Caenorhabditis elegans: one gene and its partners. The protein of the gene in region 4 interacts with the protein of the main gene of each other region in a pairwise test. Each region holds a gene or a part of one and is shown on either strand. Other genes may lie near its edges.

The links.
Region 1: the proteins of sup-46 (region 4) and gst-15 interact in a two-hybrid assay, tested with the Caenorhabditis elegans proteins (one large-scale study listed by BioGRID).
Region 2: the proteins of sup-46 (region 4) and nova-1 interact in a two-hybrid assay, tested with the Caenorhabditis elegans proteins (one large-scale study listed by BioGRID).
Region 3: the proteins of sup-46 (region 4) and ech-8 interact in a two-hybrid assay, tested with the Caenorhabditis elegans proteins (one large-scale study listed by BioGRID).

What each region holds. Positions count from the first base shown.
Region 1 is NC_003280.10:13,609,438-13,616,226, reverse strand, and holds gst-15 (glutathione transferase), read left to right. Parts: upstream 1-3,030; 5' UTR 3,031-3,083; coding exon 3,084-3,228; intron 3,229-3,899; coding exon 3,900-4,396; 3' UTR 4,397-4,457; downstream 4,458-6,789. Other genes in the region: gst-14 (glutathione transferase), read left to right, coding at 129-267, 883-1,376; gst-24 (glutathione transferase), read left to right, coding at 4,933-5,071, 5,257-5,747; gst-20 (glutathione transferase), read left to right, coding at 6,502-6,561.
Region 2 is NC_003283.11:18,077,551-18,085,710, reverse strand, and holds the start of nova-1 (K Homology domain-containing protein), read left to right. Parts: upstream 1-3,804; 5' UTR 3,805-3,880; coding exon 3,881-3,887; intron 3,888-5,670; exon of another isoform or gene 5,671-5,755; intron 5,756-7,454; exon of another isoform or gene 7,455-7,542; intron 7,543-8,160. Other genes in the region: fbxa-106 (F-box domain-containing protein), read left to right, coding at 584-629, 2,240-2,327, 2,377-3,019, 3,065-3,253.
Region 3 is NC_003282.8:10,234,429-10,242,497, forward strand, and holds ech-8 (Enoyl-CoA Hydratase), read right to left. Parts: upstream 4,749-8,069; 5' UTR 4,687-4,748; coding exon 4,624-4,686; intron 4,093-4,623; coding exon 3,937-4,092; intron 3,887-3,936; coding exon 3,743-3,886; intron 3,695-3,742; coding exon 3,575-3,694; intron 3,530-3,574; coding exon 3,103-3,529; intron 2,776-3,102; coding exon 2,654-2,775; intron 2,608-2,653; coding exon 2,510-2,607; intron 2,455-2,509; coding exon 2,271-2,454; 3' UTR 2,198-2,270; downstream 1-2,197. Other genes in the region: ech-9 (Enoyl-CoA Hydratase), read right to left, coding at 1-225, 272-391, 437-571, 620-775, 820-882; lipl-7 (Lipase), read right to left, coding at 4,896-4,973, 5,477-5,588, 5,637-6,118, 6,486-6,853, 7,134-7,236, 7,290-7,376.
Region 4 is NC_003279.8:10,168,107-10,176,744, reverse strand, and holds sup-46 (RRM domain-containing protein), read left to right. Parts: upstream 1-4,141; 5' UTR 4,142-4,177; coding exon 4,178-4,256; intron 4,257-4,335; coding exon 4,336-4,622; intron 4,623-4,689; coding exon 4,690-4,905; intron 4,906-5,620; coding exon 5,621-5,722; intron 5,723-5,770; coding exon 5,771-6,010; intron 6,011-6,377; coding exon 6,378-6,626; intron 6,627-6,679; coding exon 6,680-6,871; 3' UTR 6,872-7,106; downstream 7,107-8,638.

The DNA of each region.
Region 1 (6,789 bases), on a different chromosome or scaffold from region 4:
CCCGTAAATGATGACGATTTTGATCTTTTGTAGGGTTATCTTGAAGTGAAAGATCACTAAGTACCCAGACTGCACTCTAGTCTTTTTCCCCTTTAAATAGTCTCGAGAATGAGTTTGAGAAACTAAAAATGCCGTCCTACAAGCTGTCTTATTTCCCAGTTCGTGGTCTAGCCGAGTCAGCCAGACTTTTATTCCATCTTGCCGGAGTTCCGTTTGAGGATGAACGGGTGAACTTTTTGGATGACACCTGGGAGAAGATGAAAGGCAGTGAGTTTGGGCAAAGTGGTAGGGTAGTGCAGGGGTGAGCGGCAATATTTGCCAAATTTGCTGGTAACCTAGCGCGGTAAATTTATCAAATTTTCCGTTTCCCAAGCTCGGCAAATTTGTTGAATATGCCCGACTCGCCGAGCTCGTCAAGTCTACCATATTTGCCGTTTTTCATGCTCGGCAAACTTGCCGAATTTGACATTTACCGAGTTCGGCAAATTTGCCGAATTTACTGTTTAGAAAGTTCGTAAAATTTTCCGAATTTGCCGAGCTTGGCAAGTTTTGAAATTTGCCGCACACCACAAAAATCGGCAGTTTGCCGGTTTTTTAAAAACAGTTTCGCCGATTGAAATCGAAATTATGAAATTTCCGAAAACAAATGTGCAAAACCACAATTTGCCGAAAAAATGTAGAATCGACAATGTGCCGGTTTGCCGATTTGCCCGAAATTTTCAAATTCGCCGGAAATTTTCGATTCCGAAAATTTGCCGATTTGTCGGAAATTTGAAATTCCGGCATTTTGTCTATTTGCCGGAAATTTTAAATTCCGACAATTTGCCGGTTTGCCGACTTGCCGGAATATGTCGCCCACCCCTGCTATATATCGAATTCCAGAAACCCCAATGGGACAATTGCCTGTCCTCACCGTCGATGACTTCGAAATCCCACAATCTGCTGCCATAAATCGCTACCTTGCTAGAAAATTCGGGTTCGCTGGAAAAACTCCAGAGGAAGAAGCTTGGGTAGACGCCGTCGTCGATCAATTCAAAGATTTCTTTGCGGAATTCAGAAAACTAGTCATTGCAAAACGAGTCGGAAAATCTGCTGAAGAACTGGAAAAGTTAACGGCTGAAGTTATAAAACCTGCTATGGATGTGTACTTCAAAGTTCTCAATGGCCTACTGGAAAAGAGCAAGTCAGGATATCTGATCGGAGATTCAATCACCTTCGCGGATCTTTATATCGCTGACAACATTCAAACACTGAAAAAATATGGGCTCCTAGAAGCTTCTGGAGAGCAACCAAAACTAGCAGCTCATCTCGAAAAAGTGTATTCCCACCCCAATCTGAAGAGCTATATCGCAAGTCGTCCAGTAACGGAGATCTAATTTTTAATCTTACTAACATGTTTTCCATATTCAAAAACAAAATAAAGAAGTTTCCTTTGACAACCAGAAACTTCATTAATGTTGACTGCCGCCGAAATGTCCTTGTCAATACTCTCTCACGTGGGGGGGGGGGGGGGGGGTAAACAAGAAAATGTGATGTTTGGTGAACAGAAAGGGTAGGGGAGAATAACAAAATAAAAACGAAGGAGGTTTTCTAAAGAATGATTGTTCTGGATTTTTTTTTGTTGGTTTTTTACAATTCATTTTTATTTTTATACTTATGCCAAGTTGAATTAAAGATGGAGCAGAGTTTCTGAAGTTTGCATATATTAATTACCTATTTTCAACAAATTTAGACGGCATTTTATTTTTGCCCAATTTTTTTCAGCCATCTAAGGACTGTCCTTTTTTTGGGCAAAAAAAATTTCTCTGAAACCGTTCGAAACTACTGGAAATTGAAAAAGGGCAATTTTTTAGTGTTTGCAGATCAATTTTGAGTCCTCTATCTATAAAATTGACCATTTTAGAGGAGTTTCAAAATTGTGATTTTTTGCCATAAATTGCCCATTTTTGCCACGTTATAGTTTTTGATGGGTTAAACATAGATTTTCTGAATTCAGCATACACGAATTACCCGTTTTCAACAAATTTAGCCAAAAATTTTTTTGCCCAATTTTTTTAAAGCCATCTAATGACTGTCCTTTTTTTTGGGCAAAAAAAAAGATTTTTCTTAAAACGTTTGGAACCACTGGAAATTGAAAAAGGGCAATTTTTTAGTGTTTGTAGATCAATTTTGAGTTCTCTAACTAAATTCAAAATGAACCATTTTAGAGGAGTTTTAAAATTTGTGATTTTTTACAATAAATTGCCCAAACAATATGTTTTTAAAAAAATTTTTAATGATTTTTTTTTTCAATTTTTCAAAAATCAAAGAAATGCCCAAATTATATTTGAATTCTCGCGCAAATGAGTGACGTCATTTTTGGCTAAATTTATGCGTTTTTTTTTAAAATTTTCTTCTATATTTGATTTAAAACACAAATTCGGCAATTGTTTTTCAAATTGAAAACTTTTTTCCGTAACATGGAAGAAATTGGTCTAAAAAACGGAAATTTAATATTTCTTTATATTTTTTTTGTTTTAGAAAATTGAATGTTTGAAAAATTGACAAACGGCGATTTAAATCAAATGTAGAAGACATATCAAGAAACCCCTCCAAAATTAGCCAGAAAAAGCGAAAATGCATAGAATGACGTCACTCATTCGCGCGGGAATTCAAATTTAATTCGGACGTTTTTTTTTTCAAATGGAAAAAAATTATTAAAAATTTAGAAAATTTTTAAAATTTTTTGACAGTTATATTTGGTTATTACGACCTATTTTCTGTGACTTAAACCCAAAAAAAATTTGAAAAAGCTCTTCTTCTCTTTTCAAAGTGGGGTTTTTTTCGAAACGTGTCCTGCAAAAAAATGTAAATTTCCAAAAAATCGTTTTTATTTCTCTTATTTTTCTTTTATTTTGAAATTTTAAATTTTGTGCTCTTTTTTATCACAATGCTCAAAGACCACCGATTTCCAATTCCCATATTATATTTTTGCTTAGAGACGTAAGCCTCAAATAAATAGACTTAGACTGTTAGAGACCTCGCTTTTTCCACTCAATTTTGTCGATTTTCGAATCCACCTTTTTCAATCTTCCAGAAATAAAATGCCACAATACAAGCTAACATATTTTGATCTACGTGGATGGGCTGAGCCGGCTCGACAGCTTTTCCATCTCTCGCATACTCCATACGATGATATTCGGATTCCAATGGCCGATACTGAAGGGAAATGGGAGAAAATGAGAGACAGTAAGTTCTTAAAGTGAAATGTGTTGCTTGTAGTTTGTAGTTTGTAGTTTGTAGTTACTGATGCCACACTTAATTTGAAAAAGTTTGAACTAAAAAACATTAAATTTCTTGGCTTTCGGGGAAAAATCTTTTTGTAGTTTGTAGTTTGTAGTTCGTAGTTTGTAGTCTGTAGTTTGTAGTTTTTAATTTGTAGTTTGTAGTTTGTAGGTGCTAGTTTGTAGTTTGTAAAAGGTTTTTTGGTACGAAAGTATTTTGAAAAATTAATTTTTGTCAAAAAAATAGTTTGTTACTTGTAGTCCGTAATTCGTATTATGTAGAATATAGGTTGTAGTTTGTAGTCTGCAGATTGTAGTTTGTAGTTTGTATATTGTAGTTTGTAGTTTGTAGCTTGTAGAAAGGATTAGATATTTCTGTTTTTTTTTCGTATAAATAGAAAGTCACTACATCCAGCTTTAGGGTTTCATAAGATCTTCAGGCGTACGCGCCTACTTTTTGCCTGCCTGCCTACGTGCTCTCCATTGTGACTTCTTGTTTAGCGCAGATTTCAAATATTTGTGTTAAGTATAAAATGTTCGATTACAAACTGAGAGTATGAACACACGATGGCAGACGTAGGCATGTAGGCAAGCGTGCCTACAAAGAAGACCTGCCATAATTAATTCAACTTCCAGAAACCCCATTTGGTCAGCTCCCAGTACTCAACGTTGATGGCTTCGACATCCCCCAATCTGCTGCAATTTGTCGATACCTTGCCAAGAAATTTGGTTATGCCGGAAAAACTCCAGAAGAAGAAGCGTGGGCGGACGCCGTTGTCGACCAATTCAAAGACTTCTCCGTTGCTTTTAAAACACTCCTTTTTGCCACAAGGGCCGGGAAACCAGAAGAAGAAATCCTCAAAATCCGCTACGAGATTTTCAATCCAGCTCGAGATGTCTACTTTATTCTTCTCAATCGAATTCTCAAAAAGAGCAAGTCAGGTTATTTAGTTGGTGATGGGCTCACATGGGCTGATCTAGTTATAGCTGATAATTTGCACAGTCTGGAGAAGCTTCGAGCCATCGATGATGATGATGAAGGACATCAGAATTTGAAAAAGTATAAGGAGAAAATCTATGGAACCCCAGATTTGGAGGATCATATTGCGACGAGAATGGATACAGAAGTCTAAATTTTGAATCGCGTTGAATTTTTAAAAACTGTGATAAAAGATAATAAACATATTGTAGTATTTTATGCGGATATTTTTTTACCGAAATACTTTTTTTTGAAATAATAGTGCGAGAAGTGCAACAGGGCTCCATATGATTTTTCAGTACTTTTGAATTTTTGAAAAAAACAGCTTTTGATGTATTTTCTGAACTTTTTAAAATAATCTTCCGTACAAGTTAGCAAATTTTATTTAATATTTTTTGGTATATTTTATCATGCTAAACAGTTTTATAAAAGAAAAATGAAGCACTTCATATGATTTTTCAGTACTTTTGAATTTTTGAAAAAAAAACAGCTTTTGATGCATTTTCTGAATTTTTCAAAAATTTTTCCAATTTTCTGACTTTTTGTTTTGTGACCAGTGTTTCTTCGCAAAAACACAAACCACTCTTCTATTTCTCTATTTCTCTCACTCTCCCTCCCCTCAATTTCGGAGATTTTCGAAACGACTTTGTGTATATAAAGTACTACTCAATCATCTCCCATCAACAAACAATGCCACAATACAAGCTCTACTATTTCAACCTTCGTGGATGGGCTGAGCCGGCTCGGCAGCTCTTCAAGCTGGCTCACGTCGAGTTTGAGGATGTTCGTATTGAGAATGGAACTCCAGAGTGGGGAGCGTTGAAGCCAAGTGAGTTTTTGAAACATTTTTAGTGGTATTTGTATAACTGTCACGGATTTTGAGAATTTTTTAAAAATCAGATACGGTGGTCCACTCTAAGCCTAAGCCTATGCCTCGGCCTATGACTATACCTAAGCCTAAGCGAAAGCCTAAACCTAAGCCTAAGTCTGAATCCCAACCCAGGAATCTTCCAGAAACCCCATTTGGTCAGCTCCCATTCCTCTCAGTCGATGGCTTCGAAATCCCCCAATCCGCTGCAATTCTCCGCTACCTTGCCAAAAAATTCGGCTACGCTGGAAAAACATCAGAGGAAGAAGCGTGGGTGGATGCAATCGTAGATCAATTCAAAGACTTCGTCACCCCACTACGCCAACTCATCATGGCTCAAAGATCCGGAAATGCGGAGGAAATCGAGCGAATCCAAAAGGAGGTCTTCGCGCCGGCCCGGGATACATTCTTCAAAATTCTTAATGGAATTCTTGAGAAGAGCAAGTCAGGATTCCTAGTCGGAGATGGTGTAACTTGGGCTGATCTGGTGATAGCTGATATTTTGACAACTATGGAGATGCTGGGAGTGTTTGATAAGCACGGAGAGGAGCAGAAGCTTGCAGCGCTCCGTGAGAAGGTTAATGAGATACCGGAGATCAAGGAGCACAACTCGTCGAGACCAGATTCTGTTGTTTGATATATTATGTGTATGTTAATAAAGATTATTATATCATAATGAGTGATTCTAAGGTAGGTAGGCACGCTTTCAGGCTGCCTACCACCTAAAAAAGATGGTTTTGACAGTAGGCAGTAGATCAAACGTATGTCTGTTAGAAGGCAAGTTATCTAGGCACGAGGCAGGTGTAGTTTGCCTTGAAGGCAAGCGGGCAGTCTGTGGCCTACGTAAAGGGTCTAACATAGACAGTAGGCATGGGTGTAGGCACAAAGAAGGCGTAAGTCACACCTGGGGAGTTTGCGATCAAAAGAAACATCCTGCCGTCAAATAAACCTATGCCTGGCTGCATGCCTTCCATACAAGCCTGACTAAATGCCTGCAAGGTAACCTATGTTTATCTGCATACCTACAAGACTGCCTATGCCTGCCTGCAAGCCTATGAAACTTTTGAACTTTTCGACAGAGATCATTCTAGAAATCCCATATTTTCGAACAAAAAAGTCATGTTTGTCATCATTTTTCCTACAAAAGACCATGAATCGTCGCCGCCATATCCAATTACAAATAAATCGAATTATCTTCTGAGATCAATATCAAGATGGCAGTGACCTCCCCGCCGCCATCGCATAAACCACGTTGTTTCCCCCCGTCGGGAAAAGAGAAAAGAGACGGAGACACGTGGCATGGGAAGTATAAAAGGGCGGACAGGGGGACACTGGCAGACGACTATCAGTTGTGTGTTGACTGTCTGTGATTGTGCTTGCTCTTTTGTACGATGGCCGAGTACAAGTTCTATTATTTTAACGGACGAGGATTGGGAGATGTTTCTAGACAGGTTAGTGTGGTGGCCTAGAAAATTGAATTGGTGGCCGAGTTTTTTCTAAAACTCGGTAACGTAGCAAATCACGGCACGATCAGCACGAAAATGTTATTTTTACGATTTTTCGACATTTTCAACGTGGCCTAGAAATCAAGGAAACTCGGCCACTTGTCCAAAGTGAGTACGTTTTTTTTTGTTGAAAATCCGCAACCTAGGAAGTTTTTCGGCTAAAACCATGACATA
Region 2 (8,160 bases), on a different chromosome or scaffold from region 4:
TTAACCAATTTTATGATTATTTTCTCAAGTTTTCCGTAAAGGAAATCAAATATTTCGAAATAAATTCTGTTGGAGTACTGTAGTCGGCGAAGTACGCAATATCAAGTGTTTGCGTACTCGGCATTCTAATTGACGAGCTTCTGGCTCATTTTTAGATTTTCTTGGTTGTTTTTCACTTAAAAGTAGAGATTAACGTTTAAAGTGCGATTTTTTTGCTAATTTCTGCTGAAAAATAGAGTGTTATAACAAAATGTTTCTTTTCGTATGATTTTTCTCTTATTCTTTTCAATTTTCTGGCAATTTCCCTTGGTAAGAACATTTTCGCCAGAAAAATGACCGATAATTTGGAAGAAAAAATGAATTCGTTGAAAATGTAAGAATTTTACGGTTTAAATTGCCACATCTACTGATAAATTGAGTGGACTGAAATTATGAGAATTTGACGGATTTTCAGTGAATTTAACTAAGAAAAAATACACTTTCTCGAATTCAAACCTAAAACTTTTTTTTCAGCTCCAACACGGCCTCTCTTCATTTCAAAAAATAAATCAAATTGACGTGATGAACTTTCTCTGTGTCTCTCATGGGCGAGAGAGTGAGCTTTTTGAGCCGAATTTGTACTGAAAACGGTAAAATAGGCCGGAAACGGCTGATAGTGAACAAAATCTAATAAAAATTTACTAACTGCCTGATCAAACACATAGAAATTATATGAAAAAGGGCAAAATTGTAAATCACCTATGAATACGCCCACATGTGAAAGTTCAAAATTAGTGATTTTCCAGACAAAACTGATTAAAGCCGGCGATTCGCTGATAAATCTTTAAGTTTTTTATTAATATATTGTCAATTAAGACTAAGTGTATCTATTTTTATGCAAATATCTAGGTTAGTGATGTTCACGACGCCGGCAGACGGAAAAACAAAAGGCTACCTCAAAAAATGGATTTTTTCGGGACCTCTAGTGATCCTTGAAAAGAGAAATTTGAAAATTGAAGGCCACCATTTTGTAGATAATTTTTTTCTGATTATTTTCTGTTTTTGATGAAGGTTTTTTGATGAAAATTGACGTCGGCATCTTCAAAACAAGAATTAGGCCTGAAAACTCCAAAAATCGTTAAAAAACGACAATTTTTGGCGGGTTTTCCTAATTTTACGAGACGCACCAAGACATAATCAAAAATTCAACCTCACCAAAAGTTGCAAAATTCTCTAAGGAAGAGATTAAGATGTCAATCACCTGATTTGATCAAAAACTGATTGAGTAACTTCAGTTTTAAGACAATGCGATTGTAATTTTTGGACAACCGCAAGCATAATAGTTGATGTGAACGCTTTTGAAAACATATAACTCGGTAACCAGAAAAGCTATCAAGAAACTTTGAACTACAAAAATAATCTTGATAACACAAGAAACATTTTCTATGTTCATAATACTTGGCTATTCTCACAAAATACATAGTTTAAGCTATGTAAAGATTCAATGCTTTGAAAAACTTTGATAGAGATACCACGAAGGTATTCGAAATTATCCGTTTGCACAATCATCTCAAAGAAGCAAAAAATAACAAAGTCTGGATTAGTACCGTCTGATACCTTTTTCATATGTCACTTTTTGTTTTTCCCGTACGGGATCCCGTCTTTACAGTCGGCAACCGACTGAAACCGAGGCCACCAATGAATAACTCAGCTTGTGAACCCTGCCGGGAAAGTCTCATCAGTTTTCCATCAGTGTACGACAAAAAATATACCGTATTTCCTCTATTAGTCTTGCAGCTTCTATTAGTCTTGCACCCCTATTAGTATTGCACCCCTACGGACCAATCGAAAATCAGTCATGCGGACTCTATTAGTCTTGCACCCCTACGGGTCAATTGAAAATTAGTCTTGCATTCAAGACTAATAGAGGAAATACGGTAATTGGGTACGATAGGAATACGGTAGGTTTATAAGTTATGTAAGTTTCTACAAATGTAACTACTTCAGTTTCTCTGTACCAAACTTTGAAGAATTTTTTATTACTTTAAAGATCACTGAAATAGTGAGCCGTTGTCTACGAGATCAAATATGTCCGAAAATTACCATTTGGTATCGGTCCTAACAAATCAGTATTTATACCAAAGTTGTTTCTTCGTCAATATTTTGAATTTAATTTAAAAACACATATATTATTCAATTTTCAATCTCACGTGAGAGAGTGTGAGAGAAAAAGAGGAATTTTGAAATAAATGAAATTGAGAGAGGCCGTGCTCCAAGGCTCCATCGATGTCGAATTTGCCATTGGACGTCATTCATAAAATTGTGGAAAAGGTTGAACCAATCGAACGGTATAATCAGAACTAGTTTTTGGAGGATTAATTAAATTGAAAATTTCAGGCTTTCTGTCCGTAAAGTCTGCCGCAACTTTCGTGCAATCGTCGATAATAAGGATCCTGGAATCAAGCGCGTTGTACTTAACATCCATCACTCTCAATTCCAGATGTGGCTGCTTGACGCAAAATCTACTGTAATTCACTATGATTTCAGTCATTCGCATTGCACAGTAAACTACAATGATCGGAATGAGCGCTTTAAAGGAGTGAACGGCTTGAAAATGGCTGAGACAGACTTGTCAGTGGTGATGAAGAACTCGAAACTTCAATTGGAAGTCCTTGAATTCCAAGGATATGATCGTATTCAAAAGAAGGAAACATTTATGAATTGGTTCAAAGAAATGTCCGATTCAAAAAACCTCTACAAGGTAAAAAGAATCGACTTTTCCATTAATCTTCCAACTTTTGCCGCAACAATTTTTCCGCTTCTTCAACCAGGATTTCTAGAAGAAATTTGCATTTACTGCAGCGGGAATCCAGATTACGTCGATCAATTATTTGAAATGGAGCAATGGAAAAGAGCCAAGTCGATTTTTATTGATTCATATGGAGAGAAGCATTTCCCAATTGAAAATCTCTTCCATCTTACCCACTTCTTCATTGATACGGCGTATCTTTCTGTCGCTGATGCTGTTAAAATCAGAGATGTTAGTTTTTTAATGTTCCTTCAAAAAAATTGTCATTTTTTCCAGATTCTCTTGAAATCGACTGTTTTTGAGTCTGGAATCATCACTTCTAGAAATATCTTCAGCGTTGGAGTTGTGCGAGTTTTCAATCCAAATTTCATTGCTAGAAGACCTTTTCGCGTTGACTATGACAATGGCTCTCACTTCAGCCTCTTATACGATCATATTTCTATCAAAATCGAAAAGAAGAAATAAATTAAACTGTTGTTCACTCGTGTGGTTCTCATTAAAATAAACTGTTTTGTTGAAATCTGTTTTTTTTCTTGTTAAATTACAATTTTGAGACATTTTTGTATTAAATTGCAAACCTTGTTGAAAAGTGGAGATTTTCCCGAAAATTTGCTGGAAATTGTGAGAAAAACTATAAGTGAAAAATTGAAATTTATTAGATTTTTTAACTAATTTGCATGGAAATGCATGGATAACCGGTGCAAATTATACAAAACCTCAAGTATTCACGATTTTCTTTTTTTGAGAAAATGATTTTTTGTTTCAATATAGATGAAAAATTGAATTTCAACCCGGAATATTGAGAGTTTCGACGATTTTCTCTCAAGTTTCACGATTTCTAACCAATTTTTGACTCTAAAATTCAGGAAATTTCATTAAAAATCAATAATTTTGAAAACATTTTAAATTAACTTCAATTTAAAAACCGGACTACGGTACACAACTCCGCAAACACCGCACGGCGTGTTCTGTCTACCGTAGTACGGCGCAATAAAAAAAAATAAATTTTTTTCCAATTTTCGAACTTTTCACCCAATTTTCGGCGCTTTTTTGCTGATTTTCGACGAAAAACTGAAGGAATTAACAAGCGCAATGGAAGGTTCGTGCTTTTTCAACTTGAAAAAGGTAAAATTCGAAAAAAAAAATACCTCTTAGGATTCAATTTTTCCATTAATTCCGCAATTTTTCCATCCTAAATTGATATTTCTCACAGAATTGTTTGATTTGTCTTATTTTCCGGCAAAATAATGTTTGAATTCGATAAAAATCGGAAAAATTCGGCTGAAAATGGTGGAATTTACGCCAAAATCCAGATTTTTCGACTTTTCAGCAAGTTTTTGGGTAAAACTACGCCGTTTTGACGAAAATTGCAAGAAAATTGACTTAAAATTTGACTGTATAATTTATGAGTTAAAATTTAAATTCTACTGGTTTTCCGGTAAAATTGCAGTTTTTATTGTTACAAAAGTTCTAAAAAACTGAATTTTGCCTTAAAAAACCCGTTTTTCTGGAATTTTTTGCTGAAAAAATTGAAAAATTGCTTTAAATCTCGTTTTTAAATCAATTTTTCTGTCAAAATCTAACGAAATCTCTCAAATTTTCGATTGGTCTGCTAGCGTTTTTTGTAGTTTGTAGTCTAGCAGATTAAATTTCTGAGATTGGGTCTGCCAGACTACAAATTACAAAATGTATTTAGCAGACCCATCACTTTTTCGACTAAATTTTGCGTTTTCAGGTGAAATTAAGCAGATTTAAAGGAAAAAACTCAGTTTTTCACAGAAAACCGACAAAAAATATGAATTTTTCGTATTTTCAGAGTTTTTTCGGCGAAAATTGTGATTTTATGCATAATTCTCTGTGAAAATTGATTTTTTAAGTCAATTTTCGTGAATTTTCACATTAAAATGTCGAGAAAATGCACATTTTGAGATATTTCCCGCAAAAAAATCAGGAAAAAATGCTCAAAATTGGCGATTTTTACCAAGTTTTATGGTCTGCCAGACTACAAACTACACAAAATGTATTTAGCAGACCCAAAAAAAAACATTTTTCGCGAATTTTTTTGATTTTTTTCTTGCATTTTTGATCAATTAGCATTAAAATTCACTAATTTTCCTCCCCAATTCCAGAAAAACCGGTTTTTCTGGAATTTTTTGCTGAAAAAATTAAAAAATTACTTTAAATCTCGTTTTTAAATCAATTTTTCTGTCAAAATCTAACGAAATCTCTCAAATTTTCGATTGGTCTGCTAGCGTTTTTTGTAGTTTGTAGTCTAGCAGACCCGAGTGGGTCTGCTAGACTACAAACTACAAAACGTATTTGGCAGACCCATAGTTTTTTCGACTAAATGTTGCGTTTTCATGTGAAAATACGCAGATTTAGACGGAAAAAACTCGGTTTCCCATAGAAAAATATGAATTTTTCGTTTTCTTAGACGGTTTTTTGGCGAAAATTGTGATTTTACTCATATTTCTCTGTAAAAATCGATTTTTGAGTCAATTTTCGTGAATTTTCATATTCAAATTGCGAGAAAATTCAAAATTTGAATTTTTCCAGCGAAAAAATCAGGAAAACTGCCCAAAATCACAGCGAAATTGACGATTTTTACCTAGTTTTATGGTCTGCCAGACTACAAACTACACAAAATGTATTTAGCAGACCCAAAAAAAAAATTTTCGCGAATTTTTTTTATTTTTTCTTGTATTTTTGACCAATTAGCATTAAAATTCACTAATTTTCCTCCCCAATTCCAGAAAAGCCGGTTTTTCTGGAATTTTTTGAAAAAAATTTGAAAAATTGCTTTAAACCTCGTTTTTAAATCATTTTCCTCTCAAAATCTGACGAAAATCTCTCAATTTTTCGATTGGTATGCTAGCGTTTTTTGTAGTTTGTAGTCTAGCAGACCAAATTTCTGAGAGTAGGTCTGCTAGACTACAAACTACAAAATGTATTTAGCAGACCCATATTTTTTTCGACGAAATTTTGCGTTTTAGGTGAATATAAGCAGATTTAGACGGAAAAAACTCGGTTTCCCATAGAAAAATATGCATTTTTTTTAAACGGTTTTTTGGCGAAAAATTGTGATTTTATGCGTAATTCTGTGTGAAAATTGATTTTTTAAGGCAATAATCGTTAATTTTTCCTGAAAAATTCCGCGAAAATGCAAGATTTGAATTTTTTTCCCGCGAAAAAATCAGAAATCTGCTCAAAATAACAGCAAAATTGACGATTTTTACCAAGTTTTATGGTCTGCCAGACTACAAACTACAAAAATTGTATTTAGCAGACCCAAAATCCATTTTTTTTTCGCGAATTTTTGGATTTTTTCATGCATTTTTTATTAATCAGCATTAAAATTCGCTAATTTTCTCCCACATTTAGGAAAAAATCGATTTTTTTTTGCCAAATTGCCCCGCTCTCGCCGTTCTTTTTGGCCATCTGCTCTCCGAATAACACTTGGCATGCTGCCAAGTGTCCCACCAACAAATCCCATCGATTTTCGATGTTGGCGAGGGACAAAAAGTGACGACGATTAGAGAGCATTGAGAGCTGAGAGAGACGAGAGAAAACATGGAACCTCTCGTTGTCTGCCGTCTCTTCATCTCATCATTGTGTCCGTCAACTGACTCATTTCTTCGTATTTACGCGCTCTTTTTTCGAAGGAGGACGCGTTCCGTTTTTTTTTTTGGTTTCGTACAAATTTTTGGTTTTTTACGCGATTTTCTCGAAATTGCGTGTGAAAATTTGCAAAAAATTCGATTTTTCGTTTCAAAATCGAGCTTTCCTTCTAAATTATCAAATATAATCGTAAAATCGGTTTTTCTCTACGATTTTTCTTCAAAAGCTGAATTTTTTGCTGAAAAGTGGGTTGAAAATCACGAAAATTGCAAATTTTAACGCTGATCAATAAAAAATGCAAGAAAAATGGATTCTGGGTCTGCTAAATACATTTTGTGTAGTATGTAGTCTGGCAGACCATAAAACTTGGTAAAAATCGCCAGTTTTGCTGTAATTTTGAGCAGTTTTCCTGATGATTTTTTCGCGGGAATAATGCAAACATTTGCATTTTCTCGGAATTTTTAAGGAAAAATGCACGAAAATTGACTCACAAAATCAATTTTCACAGAGAATTTTGCATAAAATCACAATTTTCGCCAAAATACCATCTGAAAATCCGAAAGTTTACACATGTTTAGTTTTTTACACGATTTTCTCGGAGTTTTGTGCGAAAATTTGCAAAAAATACGAATTTTTCGTTCAAAAATCGAGCTTTCCTTCTAAATTATCAAATATAATCGTAAAATCGGTTTTTCTCTACGGTTTTCCTTTAAAAACTGCAAGTTTTGCTGAAAAATCCGTTGAAAACTGCGAAATTTAACTCTAGAGCGTGTAGTTTGTAGTCTAGCAGACCCAAATCGAGCGCATGGGTCTGCCAGACTACAAACTACATTTTCAATCGATTTTTCCGGATTTTTAGGTTTTAAATGTGATTTTCTCGGTGTTTCTTGTTGAAATTCGTGAATTTTCGGGAAAATTTCCTGAAAAGTCAGAATTTTTGCCGGGAAAAGCGAGTGTGCACTCTAAAAATTCAATTAAAACTCAGATTCCCCAATTTTCGCAAAAAAGGAGTTTTTTCTTTAGAGAAACTGCAAATTCCCCTCAAAATCCCTTCAAAAGTACGAAAATTAGCTCTACAGCGTGTAGTTTGTAGTCTAGCAGACCCAAATCGAGCGCATGGGTCTGCCAGACTACAAACTACACATAAAACTAGTTAAATAAAAACGTCAATTTTGCTGTAATTTTGAGCAGTTTTCCTGAAAAATCTCAAAATTTGCATTTCCTCACAATTTGAAAGTGAAAATTCTCGAAAAATTACTCAAAAAATCGATTTTCACACGGAAATTATTGGAGTTAGCCACAAAACTATGCATAAAACCACAATTTTTCTGTGGAAAACGGGGTTTTTCCCTGAAAATCTGCTCATTTTCACCTAAAAACGCAAAATTCAGTCGGAAAAAATGATGGTCTGCTAAATACATTTTGTAGTTTGTAGCCTAGCAGACCAATTTGGTCTGCCACACTACAAACTACATATTTTGCAAAAATTTGCGGTTTTTTCAGTGATTTTCTACCGTTTTTCCTCAATTAAAAAAAAATTCCTTTGAAGTAATATAAATTTCTCAAAAAAATCAATTTTTAGTTGTAGTTTGTAGTCTAGCAGACCCAAATGGTCTGCCACACTACAAACTACATATTTTGCAGTTTTTCGGGGATTTTGCATACGAAAACCAAGAATGTTCAACTTATCCACATTTTTCTCGAATGTTTTCAATAAAAAATAGGACAATTTTTGCTCTGAAATTCAATTTTTA
Region 3 (8,069 bases), on a different chromosome or scaffold from region 4:
ACTTTGATCAAAATAAACATGAAGAAGCCTGTTGAATACAAATGATTTACAATTTCCAACAAGAACCGGAAGCTTTTTTATTGATTCACATGCTTGAAAAGCAGTTGCAATTGCCTGTGATGAAGTATGAGATCCGTATATTATTTCAACCAATCGAATCACATTGGCAGGATTGAAGAAATGAATTCCAACAAGATTGCTTGGGTCGCGGAGAACTGATGAAATCTATAGATTTTAAAGTTAGCAATTTCTCGCAAAATTAAGGCTCTACCTCATTCAAATCCAAGCTTGAAGTATTTGTTCCAAAAATGCAAGTTGATTTGCAGATGTTCTCGAGGTTGGCGAATAGTTCCTTTTTCAATTTCATATCTTCAATTACTGATTCAACAATCTACAATTTTACATTTAAAAAATGTCGTTAAAGTATTTAACAAACAAGATCGCAATTTGAAAGCTTATGGAAATCTGATGTTATTTTCAGATTTGCATTGATTTTTTCGATTCTTTTGTCGTTTAATCTCTTGAATGATTTTTCCCGAGCATACATAACTTCCAACTCTTGCTTGCATCTCTGAAAATAAAAATACAAATTATGTTTTTTTTTAAAGATCTATATCACCTGCTCATTTCGTACTACCAAAAAAGTTTCAATTCCAGCTAAACCAAAGCAGATTGCCATTGCCTTTCCCATAGTTCCACCGCCAATAATTGCTACGGAATTTACATCATAAGCTTCAGAATTCGTGTGATCACCTCGATCATTTGGCAGAGACCACTGGAAGTATACAATTCAAATAATTTAATTGGAAATGAAATCACCTGTCCCGCCAAGGAATGAGCTTCCATCAAATAGCTTCTGACTTCTTCTGGAACTTTGCCCATTTTTTGATTGTTTTCAATTCTGGAGTATAAAAATTTAATCGGCTGAACAACATTGTTTATACAAGTTTAAAAAATGTTTGAAAAATTTAAACACGATACAGTTAATATTTTTTCAGAGTTTTCAGACCACCCTTTTATAGGTACTTTTCATTTGTAATATATCACGTTTTTACTGCCCACTTTTCCAAATATTTCGTTAGTGATAACAAAGAGGATTTTGTCCCGACATTTCGTCCGTGAAGTTCCCGGACAGAAAATGATCTAGTCGATGTTGTCACTGTCTGTTTGTTGATTCATTGATGATAAGAGCTGATGAGACTTTGGTGCTTTCAGTACACTGTCGTCTTTGTTTAAGAGTAAAACACGAAATTCCGTCTAGATCTAGATAATTCAAAAATCAAGTGCAAACATGTGCCTTGTGAATATTTCTGTGTATAGTTTATTGTTTCTTATCTGTATATGTACATACATATGTGATTTATTTGGAGTTGTTTACTAAATTAAGATGTTAGGCTATAACTTGTTTTGATACTTTGAAAAACATCCAATTTTCATAGCGCAGCATATCGTGAGATTATTACGATATCCGAACAAAAAACTATCGCCAACTTTTTTGAAAAATAATGCAGATGGACGCGTATCTCTGGTAGGGCTCAACAAAGTGTTGTCTGAAATTTTTTAAAGGTGGATTTTGTACAGAAGTTGGCTTGAACTGAAATTTTTAAATATAATTATTGTGCCCTACAGAGTACAGCTAAAAATTTGAAGTTTATTGTCGGTCATATCGAGCACCAGAGGAAACACTTTTTTCTTGAAAAAATGTGTGTTCTACCTATTTACCAAGTATTTTTCGTTTTGATATCAAATTTTTAATCCCAACACAATCAGTAATATTTTTTAATACAAAACGTCATTTCAGCAAGGCAGTCTTTATGTTGATTTTTGTGATTCTGTAAGGCAACATTTACTTCCACTTTCTTATCAATTTTCAAGCTCAAATGTCTAAGAGTAAGGGTTGATTTCATATGACAGTGCTTGTCCGGTTGAAATACGAAAAACGCCCACAAAATCCATGTTACTGATAATAATGATAAGTGTACAATTGAATGTCTCAAGATCCGTTTTTCGCTAAATGTACCGTACTTTTATTTTTATAATTATTATTTGTGCACCTCACGGGGTTTATCCAAAAAAATACAGAAGACATTTTAATTTTCAGAATTAGAGATGGGCAATTGGTCTTGCAGATTGATTTGCATCAAACTTTCGACAAAATTTATAATCCCCAGCATGTCATTTCTTGTACATAGTAGATCAATTGTATACAGGGTATTTATTTATGTTTTTACAATAATCATCTCTTTGAACATGGTAACGAACTACAAAATTTATAATTTCGCTGCAAAATTCTTCCTGTCCACATTTTGCAACGTGGCCGCAACTTTGTATGTTCTATCATTTGGTTCTAAAGAATTCCAGAGAATAATTGTGCTCGCAACTTTTTCAATTCCTTGAAGCCATCCAAATCTCATCGGACCACCAGTAGCAACAGGCCATCCAAACCCGAGAATGCTGAAACAATTGTGCTCATAATTTTAATTTTTTTTTGAAATTAAGTTTTACTTACAACATGATATCGATCAAACTTTCATGATGGATGATTCCTTCCTCAATGCACAAAAGACCTTCGTTGACCATGGGATACAAGAGGAAATTGACGGCATCCTGGTAAGTTTTCGGTTGAATTTGAATGAAATTAGAAAGTGAGTACCTGATCGTTCAAAATTTGTATATTTGGACTTGCAGCTGAAGAAAATTTTCGAATGAGCTGCTCCATTTCTATATCATTCTCCTTTTTGTGAGTATTTGGATCATATTTGTAGTATCCCTTATCTGAAAATTACACCTAAATTGGTAAAAAATATTGGGCTTTTCGTGACAGTTTTGAAAATCTTCATTTTGAAAAAATAAATTGAAAACAATAATTTCCGGTTTTCCTTCTGGAACGTTCAAAATTTTGATTGGCACTTATCATTACCACTGAAAAAATATTTTAAAAATTTCAGACTTCAGCTTGTCAAATATTTCAAACTTTTCTTATAGCCGGAGCGAAGGTATTTGTTTTTTAACCTATGTATAACTATTTGCCGCTGGTGATACTCCAAAGAAATTGAAATTATCCGTTTCTCAGTTCATTTCACAATTTATTTAAAGACGTACTTGTTTTTCTACCGTATCTCTTTTGTCTCCAAACTTCCTTTTCAAAATCACTTGCTGGCCATCCATTCTCCTTTTTCAACTTTTCCATTACATCTAATCCATTCATATCAGCTACTGTTAAAGGACCCATTAGGAATCCAAAGTTTGTAATGATTTTATCAATTTGATGAGGAAGATATCCGTATTCATACATCAACTTTTGACTCTGATTCAGATAAACTCCAAGTAGCCGGTTAAATACAAATGCTGGACAGTTTCCCACAAGAACTGGTAGCTTTTTGATAGATCTACATGCTTCAAAAGCTGTAGCAACTGCTTTGGAGGAAGTTTTCGATCCGTAGATCACTTCAACCATTCGAATCAAATTTGCCGGATTGAAAAAATGAATTCCAACTACTTTTGTTGGATCTCTAAGTACTGATGACATCTGAAAGTGAACATGTTCTTTTGGAATAGTTAACTTAAAGCGTACCTCATTCAAATCTAAACTTGATGTGTTGGTTCCAAAAATACATGATGGTTTGCAAATTTTATCAAGTTTAGTGAAAAGTTCCTTTTTCAGTTTCATATCTTCAAAAACGGCTTCTACAATCTGAAATTTTTCTTTTTTTTTCTTTTGAAAATAAAAACAAAAACTCACCAAATCACAATTATTTAGCTTTTGAAAATCTGTAGTTATCTGTAGATTTTTTCTCAATTTTTCAACTTTTGAATCGTTCAGTCTTCGAAATGCTTTTTCCCTTTTGTAAGTGATTTCCAATTCATTTTTACAGAATTCGGCAGCCTGCAAACAAGTTTAACTGAATTGATATTATTTTTAAACTTTATGGCTACCTTATTGTTAACTTCGACAAGATACGTCTCAAATCCTGATAAACAAAATGCGATTGCAATTCCTCTTCCCATGGTTCCACCTCCAATTACAGCCACTGATTTGATTGGAATTGATTTCGAATTTATGTAGTCACCGCGATCATTTGGAAGAGACCACTGAAATGATCAATTTTCATATTCTGATGTAAAAAAATTGTGATTTTCAGATATTGTTAAAGCTGAATGCTGAAAAACTTTGCAAAGTGTAAAAATGCGCGTTTTTCTCGAGCAAGTTCTTCAAAAATTTTGGCAACTGACTAATCAAGGGATTTTCTTGTTTATTATTATTTTTCACCACAACTTAGAATTTTGCCATTGAATCATATAGTCGTGCTCTTCGATATTTGAAAAATACTTTAAAAAAATATTATTCCGATGTTTGCCGGATGAACTAATATTTTATATTATCAATGAAATCGAAATCTGTAACTTCAGCTATTTTCTGTTCTCTATATACTATAAACGATATCGTTTTAGTGATTTCTACCATTGCTCAATTCAAAATTCTGCCGAAAAGTGGTCTTCCCTCACTGAAAAATACCAAAAACAAACAATTCACAAATCTACAGAGTGCCCACGGATACGGAAAAGCGGAAAATAACTAATTTCTCATTCAAAAAACTTTATTATTTTAGTTTTCAAAGTTACCTGAGCCGCCAATTGATGAGCCTCCATCAAATAGTCCCTCACTGCTTGTGGCACTTTATCCATTTTTCTGAATTTCAAAAATCTAAATTTCAAAATAAAACCAATTGTAACGAATTAAAAGATCTAAAGAAATTGCATTGATATATGCCAGATGTGTCCCACGTTAGCGATCAATTGATAAGAAGAACATTGTAGCCTATAGGTACATTTTGGCCATTAAAACAACAATAAAACACGGTTTTATTTATTTTTGAAAAAAAATCGATGAAAAATCATAAATGTTTCTTCAATTTGTGCATCCGAGTGATTCGATATTTGTTGTAGTCATCTTGGATAGTTTCGATGATTTTCTGGAATAAATTTGTTTTTAAATAACTCCTTATTATGTAATTTCAAAAATAAGAATATAACATTAAGAACAACCAAACCCGGCATTTTGGAAAATTTGGACCATTGCTCAAAAACGAAAAAGTGGGAAAATAAGGAATTGAAATATTTTGGAACTCTATTAATTTATGTTAGAGAGAATTTCTGCAGAAGCCGTTCCTTTTCAAATGTTTTCTGTTCAATGTCTAGAAAGAGTGACCACATTTTGAATACACCTTGGCCAGAAATTGGTCAAACTTTGCTCGGAACGTGTTACAGATTTCAAATATGAGGTGACCTAAGTCTGACCCACCAACTTTCATTTTTTTTAACCTTCCAGAACGCACACATGAAGTCTTTACCAAGGCCTGATCAAAACCAAATCAAAAGGTTTTACCAAAATTTGACAAAGTGTAAATATTACAGATGCGCGGTCTAACGTTAATGAAAAGATATTATTCAGTAGGAAATTTGATTTCAGACTTACCGGATATAAATCAAATGCAGCATGCGTACCGAATACAAAATCCATATGACTGTAGTGTGGAAGTTCCAGTGATCCAGCGATTGTTTTATTCATTTTTGACAGAATCGAGTCTCTACAAATCATTCATTTAGTTACATCAAAACTAATATAATTGATTAACCGAATATCTTGAGTATCAGCCAAAATGTCGTCACGACTCCAATAGAGATAAGTTGGTGTGTTGATCTGTGTCAAATCATATTCCGGAGGAGTAGGTTGCCCGTATTCAATGATATTTCCATCAGTTCCATAATCAAACTTAGAAACAGTCTGTGATTTGACAAGTTGAATCCAGTGTTGCAAATCTTTTACAGAAGTGGCTGCAGGTGTATGACAAAGATATACACCAACTCTTGATTGATTGAACATTTTCTCATTTCCATCAATGAAACCGATGTCCAATGTACAAATATTTTGCATAAAGAATCTGCTGCACATGTAACTTATCATTTTTTGAACAGTTCGCGGAATTGACAGTGGAGAGTATGGAAGTCGACCGAGCAAGATTTCTGCATAAGTTAGAAACTTTGTCCCAAACAATCCAAATAGACCACCGATATGGGATACTGTTGCAACTGGAGCCAATGCATGGAAATGACGAATCTTAAATTATTGTTGCTTTTGAGGAGGTAAAGAAAGACTAAAAGCATATTAACTGATCGTATGTAACTTTCTACAAAGAAAATGTTTGTTAGCATACAGAAACTATAAATATATACTGATCGTGATTTTCAATTTTGTGCAAAGCATGAGCTTGAGAAACAAATGTTGGATTACGGCAACTACATAAGTAGTCACAACAAAATGTACTGTTTGTAACTACAATACCCCATAATACGAGTAGTCATACAAAAACATGTCAAATACATCCTTCATCGCACGGGTGCCGAAAAACTGTCTGACTAATTATAATTAGAAACGAATTAGATTTGTTTTAAAATTCTCTGTGTCTAGCAATAAATTGAAATACCTTCTTTGCAAATTCTGGATTTTCTGCAAGTCTTGAGAACATAATCATAGTTCCTTGTGAGTGTCCCAAATAATATAAAAACTCTTGTTTTGTCTCCTTCAATACCAAATCCACACTCGCTGTCAAATCAAATTCCGACATTTGTTGCCACGTGAAATTCCAAAATTTCTGATTTTCCGGTCCATAGCCAATATGTTTTTGTGATGCAGGAGTTCCACGGCTATTTGCAATCCAAATATCAAAACCTGCATCGGCGAAAACAAAACCAGCCGATTGATTTGCTAGATTCGGAATCCAAGAGAATCCGTCCGCAAGGAGGCCGTGTTGCATGAATACTATTGGACGTTTTGAGCTTCTGTCACATTTTTCTGAAAAATATTAGAGATGATATCAAAGGTAATTCACAGCAAAATTCAATGTATATTAAATTATTCAAAAACTTCTTTTTTTTGTTGACAGTTTGGAAATTTACCAATACTGGAACAAAGAGAAATCTGAAATTATTCATTTTGTTTAATCGGCCATGTTAAAAATCAATGAGAAAACTTGTACAAAATCTCTACTGCCGATACTTCATTTTGAAGTTTCCGTTTACGAAATAAATTTAATTTTCAAATGTCACATTTTTAACTAAAATGACAGACTTACCATTTTGTTTACATGGGATTCTGTGAAGTTCCAGAATATACTCATCCGTTGTTCTCACTAAATGTACTTCTGATTCATACCCAAAGTGTTTTCCTATTTCTGGCTACAAAAAAATTTGTTCTGAGATTAATAAAATAATTTTTCTCAAAATCTTACCACAGTCATGTAACATTCATCGTCAATAGCTAGACTTAAATTTATAGAAAATGAGAGTAAAATCAAAAATAAATCGATTTTTGACATGAATCAAAAAACCTTGGGAGGAGAGGTTATATGGCAGAGCAACAGGATGAGTGTTGGGTCACACCTGTTGTAACAATTACCACCTTGGACATGTCAATAACATATGTTGGGGTCAAGGATTAGGTACTTTTCAATTACAAGTGAAGTATTTTTAATAGATTAAAACACCAAATGAACAAATTTCGCGTTTTCTATTTTAAAATTCATCTTCAATCTAGATATTGTAAATGTACATGTAAAACTATTCACATTTTAGGTTTTTTAAAATGGCATTTAGGTTTTAATATTTATGACGATAGCTACAGTAACCCTTGCTTGGCACACTCCCTCATACTTATATTTCACGTGGTGTCAGGTTGTAACGGTTTGATCTCCAAGAAATGCGGGAATTTTTTCCCCAAAAAAATGTGACGTCAGCACGTTCTTAACCATTCAAAATCAGTTGAGAACTCTACGTCTAAACTCCCGCATTTTTTGTAGATCACAACGAAATGGGACATTCTGACACCACGTGATATTTGAGTACTCAAGTTAACAATGAACAATTATTTTATGCTAAGTTTTATGTGGTACTTGTTTAAATTAATGACTGAAAATAGTGAATCATAAAATTGCACTCTATGCTGTAACTTTTTTGGGATTTAAAATTTTTAGGACAAAATATAATAAGTTCGATTTTTGCATCTCTTTTTA
Region 4 (8,638 bases):
AAAAAACGAAAAACACTATTAAAACGTTTCGATTGAAGGTTTTTCCGTCAAATACCTAACGAGACCCATGGTTTGGGGGCGGAGCGTATCATGTTTCTGCGTCCTCATAATATCACGAGTGAAGGAGCTGTTCGAATCAAAAAAGGTATAACGAGATTGCAGAATGGATTGTTTTTCAGTATTCACCTGCTTCAGAAAAGTGATGATTGATAGCTGGAAATACTTGAAAACAACTGAAAATAGAATAAAAATCTCTGCTACATTGCTATATTGAATAATTTCTCTCTCTCTCTGAGTCGGAGCAGGAAATGCACGTAGGTTCTCATTTAATTAGGTAAATCAACACCGAAAGAAAAGGGAAGCAAGTAGACGAAACGGGAAAACATAGTATTACATGAATTCTGCAAGGGATTCAGAGCACATACATATAATAGCATAGGAGAGAGCCGACACAAGAGAGGTGGGTGGTGGAGCAGGAGATGAAGGTGAAGGGTTTCTGAGCAAATTTGAAACATGTGCATTGGACATCAAATGTGTAATTTTGATATGTTGCACTTGGTCTTTGTGTTGGCCTGAGTCTAGTTAAAAACATTGGAACAATTGAGACATATCTGCCTCAAGTAATCATAGTTTCTGAGCTTCGAAATTTCTCGGTTTAATATAATTTAATTTAGAAATCTTGCAGCAGTTAAAATACGAGTTAAAATATATGAAAACACAAGTTTTGGAACTACCACAACTACGATTATATAGAAGACTGAAGAGTTTTCTGGCAAACAAACTGTCATTTTCCCACGATTTTCCTAGTTTTTCTAGACACAAATCGGGCACAATTGTGCCCGTTGGTACGAATACTTAATGAAAAATGTGCCATCTCAAATAAACCGAGCCTTTATAAATATATATTTGCAAATTGTGTGAGCCTTTTCCTATTTAAGCGGAGATGGCAGACGCTGAGGATGAAATATTCAAAAATTGTCCAGGATGTCATTCTGGAGCATTTAAATATTTTTGTAATTTTTAAGGATGTTAGTGTGGAATCTGAAGAGTTAATCTATATGGAAGGTGATGGAAGTTTGATTTAAAGTATCATAGCACCCGGGTTAAAAGAGTAGAGATTGAAAGAGCAAACTAGAGCAAGTGACCTAATTGAATTGAATTCAACGAGATAAAATGTGCGGAATGAGAGTGCGAGCCTATGTATGTGCACGGGCTCTTCGTCAGAAACGGGGGCAAACAATGGGGTTGAATATTTTGCCACCCCGTCTATCGTCCATCCTTCCTCTCCCGTCAGTCAGTTCGATGAAATGGAAAACGGGGGAGGAAAGGGGCGTGGCGGGAAAGGAAGGAAGGAAAGAAGAGGCTCATGCAATTTCCAAAATTGCGAGGAGTGCGGAGCCGGCGGCGGCGTGTGCTCCTCCAGCTCAAGAGAGGCTTTTAAGCTTCTCTGGGCGACGGAAGGAAAACACTGAGCGCGCGGGAAACGAGACGAGAACTTTGTAACCATTGACAAACATACACAAAAGAATGGACTTGGACTCTTGGAGCCATGCAGTTAAACCATAGAAACCACCGCATTGTCTTCTTATTTTCAAAGAGTAAGAAGGAAACTCATTCGACGGGAAACTAATTTAGTTGAGAAGAATACGACGCGGCGTCGAAGAAAAGGAAAAAAAAAGAAACGCGAAATTGAAAATGTTTGCTTCAAGAAAGGCATAAAATGAGTCAGAGTGTCACTCATATATTGCGTCTGAACATATAAAACCTGCCTAGCCATTATATGATGATAAGCCGGCGCCGTGTTAGTTTCGTAAAAACGTGCGAATCACTGTGTGCAGAGAGGGAGACAGAGAGGCAGAGAGTGGACTTTTTGGGAAGATGGATAAATTCGGAGAGTACAGTCTAGAGATGAAGATCATGCAAACATGATTTTATTTTGCAAACTATCCAATAGTTCAGCATTTATGCAAGTGTCACTTCTTTTTTCTTTAAAAAAAATACGAAAAAATACTTCAAAAATTTTGAAACAAAACTGTTTGCAACATTTTTTTTTCGAAATTTCAAACTTTTCGGAAATTACCGCCTAGCCTTGTTTAAATTAACTAGGACCAGTGGACAAAACGACCACTTCGACAAATCTTGTTTGCTTTGATCTTCTTTTTTTGCAAACCGAAACTACAGTCACTATAGTTGTACTTTGTAGACATCTAGAACGTTTCCGAGCAAAATACAATAGAAACAATAGCAAAACAAACATATAGTCTTCTCAATCAGGGCACTAGGTCTATTTTCATAAACATATATAATCATATGACTGAAATAAAATTGGAATTTCGATGTCTTGTTGTAGAAACTTCACGCTAAATTTGAAACAGGGGGAAAACAAATCTGTTGACCGAAGAGATGAGTGGAACACAAATCTATTCAATAAATAAACCTACACTGGTTAAAGATGAAAAATTAAAAGTTCGAGTTATAGATCGAAATAAAAGGTGATTTCTGGTATTTCTCACTTCCCGGGCGTAAAAGGTCATAAAAGACCTTTGCCCTTCTCAACCTAGTGCGAATTGTTCTCTTGACGGCGGCAATAAACGGCAGGTAGTTTTGCATTTAAAATGAAACGAGGCACGATTTTTGTCGTTAACATAAGACCAAGATTTCAGTTCTATCAATAATAAAATCTAGTGTAAGGAATAAAAGTGAGGGAAATGACGGCGATTGGGAAAAGACTAACTAGTTCCATGCGATTACTGTTCGACATGGTAGAAGGCGTCGGCTTTTAAATGTATATACGATTTGATATTCGTATGGTGAAACCTAGAGGAATAGAAGGGAGAGACATGGTCATCGGCGGGAAAAGAGAAAGAATAGGGAAAACACGTCATGAAGTGTATATGATAAGACATTTGGGACGATTGGAGCAATATCAGAAACTTTATATGGACGTTAGTCATTTGGAATGTGACTTGTGAACGATAGTTTGAAATGTTGGTGTTGAATCACCTATTCTATAAACATTTTGAATATTTTTGGACAGCTAGCGCATGAATTGTGAAAAAAAAACAAAAACGCGTTGTTATAGAACTTGAAGCAAAACTAAATTGTACAATTATTAATAATTTTTAGTGTGAAATTGAGAATAAATCTGTCATGCGGAGGCAAAACAAAACGAGAGGCAGCTTATCTCACAAAAAACGTTTTCTATTCTTTCTCCGAAATTTGACACTGAATTCAGTTCATAAAAATCCTATTGACAATTAACGAACAAAATTATTTTTAGGGAAACATGGAAGAAACAATTGAAGAATAAAATAAATTATAGAATAGAGTGTTTCAAAGAGAACAGAGATCTTGTTTCACAGAACCATGCTATCGAAAATGAAAAAAAAATCGTAAAAGATCCAGAATACTGGCTTAGCAGCAAAGAAAAAGCCTTCACTTTTCGCGGCGATTTGTGGCGTCAAATCTGATGTCGGCTGTGCGGCTCGTCTCGACGCACAAATGCACACTTGTGTTTGCCGCCGTCTCTTCTTTTCGAATTTCGATTTTTCTCTCTTTTATCGTATTTATTTTTCTTTATTTTCTTCGTTAAATCAAACGTTTTTTTGTTTTAAAATTTGCTAAATGGTTCTCGCGGCTTAAATATGCATTATCAGTCGGAAAATCTCCAAGATGTTTCAGAGAATTGCTCCGATAGATAAATTTCGAAATTGTTCCTCTTTTTGAAAACTTAATTTTCGGTTCGGGAATTTTAAGAGAGTTTAGAGCATTCTAGTCTTTCTGTAAGATATCAAGTCAAATTTTGCTCGAGTGGCCTATTTGTAAGTAAAGAAGCAAATAAGGTGCGATCACAAAACTTTTTACTCATCTGTGCATAAGTTTTCGATCATTGTTGTAACATAGTTTTTCAATTCGATGTCAAATCAAGTATTACATTGGCGAGACAGTTCAGTAAATAATCTTTTATCTCTTTCAACAATAAAAATGGGCCACTCAGCGAGCAGATTATTTTAGTTACAATTAATTTTCGACTTGTTAGCAATCAAAATGGAAATAAAATTTCAATTGTTTTTTAAAGAAGCCCGTTGTTATATGAAAACATTTGCTTATCGTCTAATTGATTCTAGTTCAACTCATTCAGAAAGCTTAATCCAAGATCCGTGTTCCATCAGCCAACATGAACAGAAATCGTCGAGACGGACCACAGCGTGATGTTAAGCGAGAGCGTCGGAGCCGATCCAGAAGTCCAAGAAGAAGTATAGTTTTTGATATTCTTCATTCCCGTTTCCACCATTTTTTCCATAGAAATCCTTCTCTATTTTCCATTTCCTTAAGGTCGTATCGGCGCTGCTGTTGGAAGTAACAATGGGAACTCATCATCGAACAACCGAATGGTTTTTATCACCAATATCGCCTATGAGGCTCGTTGGGTCGATTTGAAAAGTCTAGTTCGCGAGAAAGGAGGTGAAGTCGCTTTCTGCGAGTTGCTCGAAGACCGTAACGGCAAGCCAAAGGGTAACGCTGTGGTTGAGTTCGAAACTCGTGAGGGTGCCGAAAAATGCGTTGAGAATCTACAAAAGTTCGACTGGAAGGGAAGAACCATCATCGCCAAAGAAATTCGGGTCCGTATCTATTTAATTTTGACACTCACATTCAGAAATTTTCATCCATTTTTTATTTTTTCTGTAGGATCCGAATGCTTTCTTCCGAACCATCAAAACTGAAACAGGCATTGATTACTTGTCTCGTACCGGAGGTGGTGGTGCAGGAGGACGAGGTCCTCCACCAAAAGATCTTGATCGCCCTACTCGAACTGGAACTTATGATTTATTCGGTCTCAATATGGAATTCCTTCGCCAACACAACATTGAACCGCCACTCTGTGAGCGCATCTTCATCGCCAATGTAGGTTTCAAATATTCTTCTTCTCGAAGGGCTCCACATCTAGACCACGTTCACTTGCTGGGTCTTTATCTCAGTTTTGAGATATGAAATTATTCGAATGGGAGAAATAAATGCAATTTTTCATTTTGGTGTTTTTAAACGGAATAGTAGTAGGAAGCTTTCTACGTGGAATTATATACAACAAAATGGAATCAGTGCTTATTATAGTTTGTTCAGACAGTTGCATCCTCCGGGTAGATCTCTCAGTATCATACGAATAAAATATAGCATCACTAATTCAGTTACTAAATACCATTCTTAGTTCCCAATCAGAGGTGGTTGGCAATTATTTTCGGAAATGCTACAAAATGACCTATTGCGACATGTTTTTTTCAAAAGTTTTCATCAAAAATTAGTCTGAAAATGTAGATAATCACTTGATTTATCTGAAAATTAAAAAAAAATTATCTCGTTTTAAACATTTGGAAAAGTGCGCGAAAATGACCAAAAGTTGCCATTTGCCGAGAAACGATAATTCAACAATTTGATGATCGGCAATTTGCAACATCCTGGTATTTTTGAAGCGCTTTTCCAAGTGTTTTATCTGAAATAAGTGTTATTTTCAGATTTAAAAAAGTGATTTTCTATATTTAACATGGCGAAATATGTCATTTTATAGAATTTCCGAAATTCCACTTCTGTTTCCAAGACAATATTATTAATCAAACATTTTCAGTTGGCTTTCAATGTCGGAACCGATAAGCTTTACGAAGTCTTCGGTATGGCCGGTAAAATCACCTGGATGGACTTCCGCATTGATAAAGAAGGAAAGTCAAAGGTTTGTTAATATTTATAGTTCCTATAAAATATAAATGGTGTCTTCCAGGGAGTATGCGTAATTCAATACACTCACCCAATTGAAGCCGTACAAGCCGTTTCGATGCTCAATGGTCAGCGACTTTTTGATCGAAATCTGGTTGTGAAAATGGATAGATTCGATAAGGAACTGGAGCACAAAGAAGGTGGACTTCCACGAGGTCTTGAGTCAATCGGAATGGGTCTTGGAGCAGAAGGAGCACCACTTTCCAATGTTCATGGAATGTTCCCAGGAGATGCTTCAGTGCCGGTAAGCGATTTAAAACAAATTTCATCGGTGTGGTATATACTAGCATTCAATGGTGGTTTTAGATTTTTTTAAATCGAAAAATTAATTTTTTTTAAACAGAAATTTTCGGGTTTCCAACATTTTGATTTTTCGAAAAATGGCCTTTTATAAGAAAACGATATGTTTTCTTATGTTTTTCCCCATCAACAATCTGAAAACTTAATACAAAAATGGGTTTTTATATTCCAATTTGCTAAACATGTTTTTCGATTTTCAGAACAAACGGAACTTTCTCTGAAAAAAGCACAAAAAATGTTCGATGAAACTCTTGATAACAAATACTCAATTATAAAATTTTTAAAAGTTAATTTAATTATCTATATTTCAGTTCACAGCTCCAGCTGCCCCATTCGTAGGTGGACCACAAGTTGTTTCGGCTGGTGGTTTTGGAGGAGTCGTTGAACAAGCCAACTTTGCCCGATCCGTCATGAACAATGGACCATTTGGAGGAAATGCTGGTGTTGGTGGTGCTGGTGGAGCCACATTTGCTCAACCTGACGTCTTTGGTGTCAATGGAGCTGGTGGACTCGCCGGTGCTGCGACACCCCAGGCAACAAGGGTTATTATCATTCGCAACGTAAGTTTTCAATTCAAATTTCAATTTGTTCTCATTTATGATCTGTTATTCAGCTTCCAAGCGATTATACCTGGCAAATTGTCCGTGACCGTGTTCGAAACTTCGGAGAAGTCGACTCTGTTGATATGATGGCGCCAGGAGCTGCTCGCATTCGTTTTGCAACTTTCCAAGACGCTGAACGTGCTCGTGCTGCCCTCTATGGATCCACTGTCGAAGGCCGCATGATCAGCGTTGACTACGCCTAATTCATTCCCCCTGTTATATTTGTATTTGAAACTTCTCACGTTTCTCTTGAATCATCATCTATTATCTTTATTTTATCCGTTTTTTCTCCATCTCTATCCTTCCTTATCCCTTTAAAAAGGCTTCCTTGTCAACGGAATCTCAATAATTTAAAACATCTTCCTCATTTTCATCACTCTAAAACTATTTCTCATATTTTCCTCTGGCAGGATGGTGACAAATAAAAGTTTTAATAATAAATGACGTGACAAGTGTGTCTTCAGATGAGCGCCGCACAATTTGAGGTGCTATTCAGAAGACAATTTAGCATGTGTGTCCCGCATCAAACAAGAGCTTCACGCAATCTGATTTGCGCGCGACAACTGCTGCTCAAACGTTTTACCGTATGCCCTTAATTGCGTTTTGAAGACGTCTCTCTCCTTCATGAGCAAAAGATAGTCACGCCCATGAAGAATCCTTTGTTGCTGAGAAAACGATGATGAGCATTGTGTGTGTCTATTTGTATGCTCACAACTTTCTTTCGTTTGTCTATGTTTTCATTTTTGACGCCTTTCTCTGGATTACGGTACCTTGAGGCTTTTGGAGAAGGATTCTGAATTCTGCTTTATAACGAGTACTGTTATATCAATTTTTTTAAAAATTAATTGTTTTTATTTCAAAACCGGCAATAAAAAATTTTGGCACCAAAAATACCGTTCCTGGTCTCGTCACGACAATTTTTTGTTAAATACAAACGGGTGTGCGCCTCAAAGAGTACTGTAGTTTCAAAATTTTAGATATATCCGTTAAAACAGTACTCACTTAAAGGCGCGCGCCCGTTTGTAATTTACAAAAATTATCGTGTCGAGACCGGGTACAGTATTTTTGGCGTAAAAATCGCATTTTAAATAGTTTCCAACGTAACATCCGTAACAATATCTTCAATTTTTGCCACGTGGCGAAACTTCCAAACAAACCGTGGTTCGATTGCGAAAACATGGAAACTCCCTGCTTCAAATGTAACAACAAATTTTTTTTTCAAATAAAAATCACGAAGGTTCCCATGTCAATTCGAATTGCGCAACTTATTGCAAATGTGTTCACATCTACCGTATCCAATTTCAAATCTTCAATTAAAGTATCAGTTGCCATAGATTTCAACTGTTTCACCCCCAAAAAAAAGTTTAGTTTGTAGTTTTTAGATTTGAATTGCCACGTCACACACATAATCTCCTCTTCCAAATGTTTTTGGATTTTATGAAAACATTATACTTTATTGATATCTTTCTGTTCACACAACTAATACGACTTCTGCTACAGTGACTTCTTTTACTTTTGGACAATTTGATTTGAAATTTTTTGTTTTTTGGAGTTTTCAGAGTTGAAAATGGGTCTAACATGAAAAGAGATTGAGCTTACTGTTGGACTTCCAGACTTATTTCAGTTAAATCAAGTTTTCATAAATGGATTACTACAAAACATTGAGTGTAAAGGTGCATTGTGAACTCAAAAAAAGGTGAAAATGAAAGTTACATAATTTCTAAAAAAAAATTTAGTTGTTCAAAAATTCAAAAAATCCCTATTAAACTTCATTCGAAAATGTTCTCAATTGTGCACATTATCATCTCAATAAACATCCAAAAATACTCCATAATGAGATCATTGTACTTTCAAATCTGATCACTTTACAGTCACCAAATGAGTCTCTCGACTCATGGCTCATAAAGTACATCTGTCCTTTTGTGAAATTCAAATAATGAGAAGAATTCACAGTTTTTTATTCGGGATGC